Caenorhabditis elegans: one gene and its partner. The protein of the gene in region 1 purifies or fractionates together with the protein of each later gene. This does not show direct contact. Each region holds a gene or a part of one and is shown on either strand. Other genes may lie near its edges. The genes, in order: ric-4 and syx-3.

The links.
Region 2: the proteins of ric-4 (region 1) and syx-3 purify together in Caenorhabditis elegans (affinity purification with western blotting, with the first as the bait; one study listed by BioGRID). This does not show direct contact.

What each region holds. Positions count from the first base shown.
Region 1 is NC_003283.11:10,260,557-10,264,503, reverse strand, and holds ric-4 (Synaptosomal-associated protein), read left to right. Parts: upstream 1-1,760; 5' UTR 1,761-1,840; coding exon 1,841-1,993; intron 1,994-2,095; coding exon 2,096-2,186; intron 2,187-2,235; coding exon 2,236-2,485; intron 2,486-2,531; coding exon 2,532-2,676; intron 2,677-2,955; coding exon 2,956-3,021; 3' UTR 3,022-3,373; downstream 3,374-3,947.
Region 2 is NC_003284.9:5,347,215-5,352,571, reverse strand, and holds syx-3 (Putative syntaxin-3), read right to left. Parts: upstream 3,475-5,357; 5' UTR 3,456-3,474; coding exon 3,426-3,455; intron 2,963-3,425; coding exon 2,855-2,962; intron 2,425-2,854; coding exon 2,238-2,424; intron 2,191-2,237; coding exon 2,014-2,190; intron 1,649-2,013; coding exon 1,433-1,648; intron 759-1,432; coding exon 556-758; downstream 1-555. Other genes in the region: C26B9.1 (PH domain-containing protein), read right to left, coding at 4,610-4,657. UniProt on the Caenorhabditis elegans protein: Potentially involved in docking of synaptic vesicles at presynaptic active zones. Acts in the intestine to regulate anterior body muscle contractions (aBOC) and the expulsion steps during the defecation motor program (DMP).

The DNA of each region.
Region 1 (3,947 bases):
GCTGACTTGAATTATTTTCTTGGATCTAGTTATTCTGTTCAAAATCTAGCGGAAATTTTAGTTTTCACAATTTTTTTTGAAAGCTGTAACTATATTGAACTTGAAACTTCCTTATGGTAGCTTTCTTTTTTTTTGTCTCCGCTTTCCTCCTAACTCACTAAAAACTCCATTCATACATTACCACAAAATTTCAAATTTCAAAAGCTCTTTCACTGCAAACCAAGTAGCATTTGTGTTAGTTTCGGTTTGATGTTCAAAAAATTGTCTTTTTGAAGCTATTTAGCCTGTTTGATATCCACGTGAGAAAATACTAGTTATCCGTTTATTTTCAATTTGTGATGTGATAGACATTGTTTTTCTTATCAAATCACAAATTAAAAAATAAAGTTAGAGCTCTTCGATTAGTAGTTCCCTCCGGTATTCCCCCAATTAGCATAGGCTCTCTCACCAACCAAAAACTTCAGCTTTTCGTTTCTTTTTTCTTCTTTCATTCTCATTGACTAACGACGTGAAAGTTTTGATTGATTTGTCTTTCTTCTTCTCTTTTAGTAGTACAATCAAACTCCCAAGAGTCCCTTTCTCCTTCCAGCTTTTTCTTCCACACTTTTCCATATCTTTCTTCTCATTTCGAATGCATGTCCCTTTTTCCATTTACGTATTGCATTCTGTCCCTCCACATCCTCCATTTTTTGCTGGGTTGTTTTATTCTCTCGTTTCTGAATTTACTTACCACTTCTTTCCAATCGAAAACATAAATTCTTTACTTTTCTCTCAAGACCGAAATTTCCGAGTCCAGAAGCCAGAAGGGGCTCAGTTTCCCAGTTCAGACCTTTTAAAGATATTGACTTAAAGTGAGACTTGAAGAGCTTGTTGACTTTATGACTTTGTGTAGCATCTTGGAAATGCATATGAACAAAACTAAATGCCTCAAGGCAAGATATGTTTTTGATCAATGAGTAGCTCTCATTTTATTCATGAATCATAGTCAGCCATAATCAAAAAACTACCCAAACAACAAATTGTAAGATCACCTTAGAAACTTTGAATAACAGGAATAGGCATTTCGTGATTTCTTTCCAAAAGCTAAATCTTTTTTCATTATACTTACTTGTTTATTTTCAATTAGGAAATTTTTCAATAAATTAAATTATAATATTTTATCAGACGTTCAAGTGATCGAATGTTTCATTTATCATGATATTTAAAAAGTTTAAACTTTTATTTCGGATGGTTGCATTTAATTATGTATATCTTTATTTTGAACCGCATTTATATAATTCTTCTATCAAAGATTACAAGCAATCACCTCATTTTCCGGTCATCAGCCATGTAATTTGGAGGTGAATTGGCTAAAGTTGTTATCAGAAACTAGGCTTTTTGCTGTTTCATATAATTTGAAAAAGCTAATTGTAATTCAAACCAATATTATTCCAAATATTTGCTTGTCACAAACTGGCCAAACTCGGGAGAACATGCATAGTCTTCCAATTCTGAAAATGGATGTTTAGTCAATCCAGTGTGTGCCCTTCTTTTCCTTCGTGGCTCTCATTCCTATCAAGTTTCTCCGAAATCTGTGTCTTCTTCCATAAACGTCATTGTTCTTCGTTTCGGCGTGCTCCCTCAATCGTGAAATTGTTGTCATTTTGTTTAGGTGCCGAAAATTTGATTCACGGATTCTCTCAAGCCAATAAATGTTGACAAGACCTTCTTAAATTTTTTTCTTGTTTTCTTTCTTTCTTTCGTATCTGAAAAGTTTTAAGGTACCAATAAATACGAAAACAACGTCGAATATCGTTTCCCCGTGTAGCCGGGGCGGTTTTGAAAGTTTGAAAAAACGGGGATGTCGGCTCGGCGCGGCGCTCCCGGCGGCCAACGGCATCCCCGTCCGTATGCCGTTGAGCCAACTGTCGATATCAATGGGTTGGTACTTCCAGCTGATATGAGTGATGAGCTTAAAGGGCTTAATGTGGGAATTGATGAAAAGACTATAGAGGTAATAGTTGATGCAGAAGAAGTTTGATTGAAAGATGTGTTTGAGATAAATTTAGGAAATGAAAAAAAGTTGTCTCTTAAATTTATAAATGTTTCGTTTCAGTCATTGGAATCCACCAGAAGAATGTTGGCTCTTTGCGAAGAAAGTAAAGAGGCTGGAATCAAAACTTTGGTTATGCTCGATGATCAAGGAGGTCAGTCATCAAACTTCTAGACTATTAAATACATTCTTGTGGTTTTCAGAACAACTTGAGCGTTGCGAAGGTGCTCTTGATACAATCAATCAGGACATGAAAGAAGCAGAAGATCATTTGAAAGGAATGGAAAAATGTTGTGGTTTGTGTGTATTGCCATGGAACAAGACCGATGACTTTGAAAAGACGGAATTTGCAAAAGCATGGAAGAAAGATGATGATGGAGGTGTTATCTCTGATCAGCCAAGGATCACTGTTGGAGATTCATCGATGGGACCTCAAGGAGGATATATTACCAAGTAAGTTTTATTAGAATAAGATAACATTTCAATTGTTTCATTGAAGGATCACTAATGATGCACGAGAAGATGAAATGGACGAGAATGTTCAACAAGTTTCAACAATGGTCGGCAATTTGCGTAACATGGCAATTGATATGAGCACAGAAGTTTCCAACCAGAATAGACAACTCGACAGAATTCATGACAAGGTAAGTGTAATGATAATTTGAATTTTCAAAGCATAACAAGAAAATTTGCAAAAACCTAATTTAGATTGAAAATGTATTGATCGAACATTATGTCACTATGAGAAACTAATTCTAATATTTTTCCTTGAAAACTTTATTGAGAAATGTTCGTTTGAAACTTTGTAATCAAAAATAATGATCTATTTTTATACTGGTTCTAGTTGTAATACTTTGAGAAACTCAGTAAACTCGGGAGAATCTAAATCATCGAATATTCTATTTAACTCAATGTTTTTCCAGGCTCAATCCAACGAAGTCCGTGTGGAATCTGCTAACAAGCGTGCGAAGAATCTCATCACAAAATAATATTTTAATGTTTTCAAAACTCTCTGTGTCTCATCTTACCATTCCATTTTCCATTGCATAATTTCTCAAAACTCCCAGTATTTTTCTCCTACTCTTGGACCAGTTGTTTTTTTCGATTGAAAATTCAAAAATTGTTATTCAATCAACAAATTATTTTTTTTTAAATCAAAAAAACACCCATTTCCACAAAAAACTTAAAATATAGCTGAAACTTGAAACACCTGGTAGTTGTGAGTATTTACATTCCCCCATTTATTCATTTTACATGCTTCAGAAATGCCCTAATTTTTTATAATGAAACGAATGTGAATGAACAAAGTATGGATAATAACGAATAAATTATTTAAATACTTGCACTTAACAGAATTTTAAAAATTAATTGATCTTTGAAAATGACGAATAGTCACAAACTATCAATTTTTCTGTGTTTTTGTGGTTTGATGACAGATTACAGCAGTCTATAATTTTTAATCAAATTGCAGGTGGAATGAGTTGTCACAACTTTCAGATGATCAGAATTCGTCTGATTGCATAAATTTCTATTCACTTATATAAACTACGTCTACAATTTTAATTTTGCCGCAGTTGTAAGCAAAAGTCAATTTTTAAGATTATTCTGTAACTAATCTCATTGAAAGTGACGTTTGATGCCAATTGAGTTTCGAATATTATCTATTAATTTATCGCTTATTCGTTTTTTGTTTCAATAATTAAACATTGTTTTATTTAAAAGTTAGGCTTTATTCCACTCAAATGAGCCGAACTAGTCCAATCTATGTAAATATATATATTTGTTGATATTTATATATTTTCCTTTTGTGCCTGAACATCACTTTTTAATCAACGCCAACGCAGATGTTTATTTTTTAGGTTGTAAATAATTCGAGAAATTCCTTCAAAATTCACAGCTCCATTTTTCAATCACG
Region 2 (5,357 bases), on another chromosome or scaffold:
TTCCTAATTTTTCAAGCACGCAAAAATTTTGATAATTTATGGTTTTTGAAATTCTCAGTAATTTGCCGTATTGGAATTTGCTGATTTTATTTGTGTTTTCTCGAGAAATGTTACACAAAATTTTCTTTGTATTTCATGACTACTAGAACTTATTCAAAACACTTTATAACATTAAAAAAAATGAAATTCTTATCAGAATTCTCTTTATTGAAAGAATTTTAATTATAAAACCAATTCTTGTTGATATTCAAAGCATAGGTCACACATAATACAACAAAAAAGACAAAGGCACACAGAGAAAATATTGAATATTAAAACACACAATAAACGGCAGAAAAGCTGAGAACGATGAAACGGATAAGTGAACTCCATATTATCAGTTGGAAAATCTGCCAAATTAAAAATTAGAAACGAATCAAAAAGTGAGAAAGATCTTAAAGCGATCAAATTAGTGACTGGTCGTGATGATGAGGGATGTGCAATAAAGATACAGTGAAATACAGTGTAATCAGAGTTGCCGCAATTTTGCAGCAAAACAACCATATGTTTGAGCATTTAACAAATAGGAGTAAAGTGGCAAACGGCAGATTGAATAAAGAGAATCAGAATTAAAACAGCTATAATTGAACCAATGATGATGCACACCTTCATTTTTCGAGCTCGTTTTTGCAAGTTTCGGGCTTCTTCCACATTTCCACGCGCTTGTTTAGCATATTCCGTGGCATTTTCTACACTGTTAACAATACTGTCCACCATCTCTCCCTGAAACAAAAACAAATGTTCAAAATGGTTACTTTATTGACAACTAGGTCGTTTTTAGATTGAGATTTTTTTAAAAATATAATTCAATATTTCCAAAGTTTAAAGCTGCAGTTTTGATATTGAAAACATATATTAAAAAATAATTTGGATTTTAAAAAGATTATTGGAAAGCAACAGTAAGATGCATTGAAAAATTCAAAAACAGTGAATGGGGATCATTTTTTGATCGATATAACAGGAATGCAGGTCCAGGTGGGAGAGCAAAATTAGACAAATTACGGAGTCGAAACATAGCTCCTCTCTTTATTGCGTTCCTGACAGAAATCACAATAGCGCTCCTATGAGAAAATTCGAAAATAATTGTGAAAGGTTGTCTAGATTTGCACTGAAAAATAATTTTAAAGAAAATTTTGCGTTTTGATTTCGGCATCGTATCTCGAACAATTTGTTGCATTTGTTTTTAACAAATTTAAAACTCCTAAAATGTAGAAACTTTAAAAAATTACAGTTGTAAAAACATATACAGAATGAAGCAAAAAAATTACCAAAATCAATAATATATGAATTGAAGCCGAATGATGTACCTCTCCCCGAAATGCATATGAATTTTATTCCTTTTCACGCGATCGCTTTTTATGTGGTTTTTTTCGGAAAAAAATAAAATAAATACTTGCCTGACTGACAACCATTATATGGAGATCGTGGAACATTTGTGCCAGTTCGCCCATCTGACGTTCCAAATTTTTCAGCTCATCCGCTCGGGATTTAACTTCATCATATAAGGCCTTTTTCTCGTTTAGCGCCAACATCACACCTTTTGTTACTTCAGAAAGGTTTCCAGAAGATACTGCATTTTCAATCTCTTCATCGCTGAGTTGCATGTTTCCTAAAAAAAAAATTTTGTTTACTTTGCGATTCTTGTAAAAAAAAATCTTCATAAACTGTATTTTTTTCAAATATAAGTTAATGTATTTTCCGAAATATTTTCAGTCATCAATATGATAAATATTTTTTTAGGTTTTCCATATTGTAAAATTGTACCAACTTTATTCTGAAAAAAATACAGCAGCTGACATTTTACGGGTCGATTTTTTACTACAATTTGTGAATCAATTTGAAAACTACGGGACTTTGCAATACAGTTTTATTATTTATTGAAACAACTGGGCATTGGTTTTTTTACTCGGAAAAAAAGTTTTTAAAACAGGGCGTCCGGTTCGAAAGTTTTATGAAAAGCAGTAAACTACTTACTAATTTTTAGGTAGTCCACAATTTTCCTCTTTGCCTTCTCTTTATATTCATCTTGTTCTCGATTAAAGTTCAACATGATATTTTCGAAAGTCTTGTAAATAGATTTCACTTGATCACTTTTCGCACGCATAATTCCGCACGCTGTAGTTGGTATTCTGCTGGTTTCCTCCGATAAAACTGAAAAAAAGTTTCTAATTCAGATACTCTAGATTCCAATCAATTACTTTTCAAACTATTTTTGATTTGTTCCGCTTTTGAGAAAAACATCTGGTTGTGACTTTTCAATTTGTTCGAGTTTTCTGAATCCGCACCAGGCGTGGACAGAAGTGCTCCGTGGAGTTGCACGACTGCGTCGTAGTCTTCCTCGAGACTTTTTAATCCTCCGCGAATATTTGAACATCTTTCTAAGAACTGAAAAATGAGTATAGTTTTGGGATGTTTGTTTTTAATTTATTTGTTGCTTTGTACTTGTATTTTGTACTTTTTTTTCAACTTTCTTTTATAAACGACTTCAATGAATTGAACAATTTCAAGTTCATTTGGCATTATTTTTTATGAAAATCGATGAAGTGATTAGTTCACTGCGTTTGAGCTTTTTGAGCCTATTCATCACTTTTCTGTGACATTTCTGTGTTTTGGATTAATTAGAATGAGCATTTTCGTAGTTTATGTACAAGTACTCAATCGAAGAAATTAAGCAATTCCAAAATAAAGTTTCATTATCACTTGCATCATCTATTACAGAACTCCATGTTTTGATGTTTTAAACTAGATTTTTTGTCTCAAAATGCCCAAACATTTAAGATTTTGTTTCAAAAAAGGCTGTAAACAAAACACTTACCATTTCAAAGTCAGCATCTTGATTTATTAAAGGTTGGGATTCCACGTCATATTTTCGTGCAGGTGGATCATAATTATATGCATGTATAGTGTTAACTGTTGCTTTTTCCTGAAAATTAGCTGTTCTTATTATGAAGATAACTTGTACCAACAAAATCCATTTGAGTACCCTCAGAACAGGGCTAAGTTTTTTTTTTTCGGAAGTTGAATTTGTTTCTCCAAAATAGACAACGACCAAAATTTTTTTTGACAAGAGCACAAAACAAGCAAAAACTAAAAATTGTGAAATTGGGAAAATTGTTGTTTATAAATTTGAAATTTTGCATATACTTACGCTCTAATTACAATTACGAGGGTCATTAAAATTGATAAATTTAAAAACGAACAATCGTCAGCCCTTTTCCAGATACATTTTTGAGATTCGTTATTTTACTGGTTCTTGTTCATAGCTAGCATGTTGAAAAACTTAACAGCAAAACACATGTTTGTTTTTGTTTTAATGTTTTGTGTATAATTAACATTAAAAACATGTTTTTACACCTTAAAACAAACCCATTTAATATATGACTCACTTGTAATTCCTTTAACCGATCCCTAGGCATTTCTGACTACGACGAATTCCTGAAATTTATTATATTAATTTTGATTTTTTTTCAGTAGAACAAGCAAAACCAAACAAAGAGGGGAGAAAAATTTCAAGTATTTTGCTGATAATATTTTTTTCTCATCTTTTGAATTATATTTTTCAAGAATGTTGTTATCATTTAAAAATAACTCGCGTAAAAACGATAAAAAGAATTATGAACTTTTCCTAGAAGCTTATAGTTTTTGGAGCAAATAGCAATGAGAAACTATGTTCGAAATTTTAAAAAATCAAATATCATCTGTGTGGGAGGGCTGAGGGAAAAAAGAGAAAAAATATATTGAGACCAACAACTGACAAGATGAGAAACAGACGACGATTTTTCGAGAAAGATTCCACTGTGAAACACATTTTCATCTTATTAAAACAAAAATCGTACTTTCGTCATACCTATGCCGCAAAAAAGATGGCAAATCGGAGAATTTAAAAGTGAGAGATAGAGAGGTTGCAGGTGCTTGACTCGGTCAATACAATATGGTTTTTAACAATTTGTCGGCTTGTTTGTTTTCAGCACTTTTTTCTTCGTCTCAACCAACTCATTTCGCATGCAGCACACAGCACAGAATATATGACATAAAGTGAATTAGAAATTGGAAATTTGGAAGAAAAACCCAGTTGTCTTCAAACAAAAAGTAAAAGTAAAAGTTTTGTTGGAATATTCCATCTTATTCCAATATATGTAACTTTTTTATTTGAGTAGGTAGCCAGTAACCAGAAGAGTAAAAAAGAGAAAAAGTTCACTAACCAAGAACTACAAAAGGGTATTTAAAGGGCACCATCAAATAGGAAAATAGCTACAACACAGAAAATGGAGAAGATTGTGGGCAATTTGAAGCGGCGAACATGCTCCGGACGCATGCACTAATTGTGCACAAACGCGATACAATAAATGAGATTTGAAATAGAAGGCCAGCATGAAACCAAAAAAAAGGGAAATTTTTGAGAGGGAGCAAGTAGACAAAAAGAGTGAAATGGGGTTGCAGAAAGGAATGAATTCATTGATGACCCATGGAAGCTCGCGATGGCGGGGGGTTTATGTCGTCTATTGTGGTTGTGTTGTTGTTGTTGCAATTTCGAGAAGTAGAATGACATCACATATCAGATGGCTCGTAATCAAATATATTTCTCGTACCACTTTTTTGGCTTTGCGTTGAATTTTTTCTGAAATAAATTTTGTGAATTTTTAAAATCCATATAAAAAATATAGGTAAAAAATAAAGGTTTTGCGCTCATCTGGAGCTCATCAGAAGCCCGTTGCGTTGGCCTCTAAAGCCAAAAATGTGTTTCAGGACACTCTATGAAATACCAACAGTTTTGACGTGTTACATTTTTGTTTAATCTTTATGAATTGGTCAAAATAGTGGACCTTCGTTGATTAGTTGATCAAAACAAAACAATTTAAAAGTCTAATGTTCCTCAACAAAAAAAACCATCTGATCATATGCTAATCACTTTTAAAATTATCTTTTCGTTTTCTGGTGGACTTTTAGAAAATACCTTTTGTTTCTAGAAAAGCACAAATTTTGAAAAATCCACATTTCACTGTTTTAGGTCAAAAACAAAACTTTCTGAAATTTTTAAAAATTGTCAATAAAACGAAGATTTTATTTCAAAATCATTTTGCTAAAATATTTGAATATCACAGTGAAACTTTTCAAAAACGTTCTGAAATTTTCTGATTTGAAGTGGTGGAAACACAATTTTCAGCTATCATAATTTTCAAATATGCCAAAACATCGTCTCTACGAGTTATATAGCTTAATTGCGTTTCAATTGTTGGTATTTAAATATGCTACTCGTTAAAGCATGCAGCAATGCTCAATCAAAAATTCTCGAAAAGTCCACGTTTTTGAAAAATTTG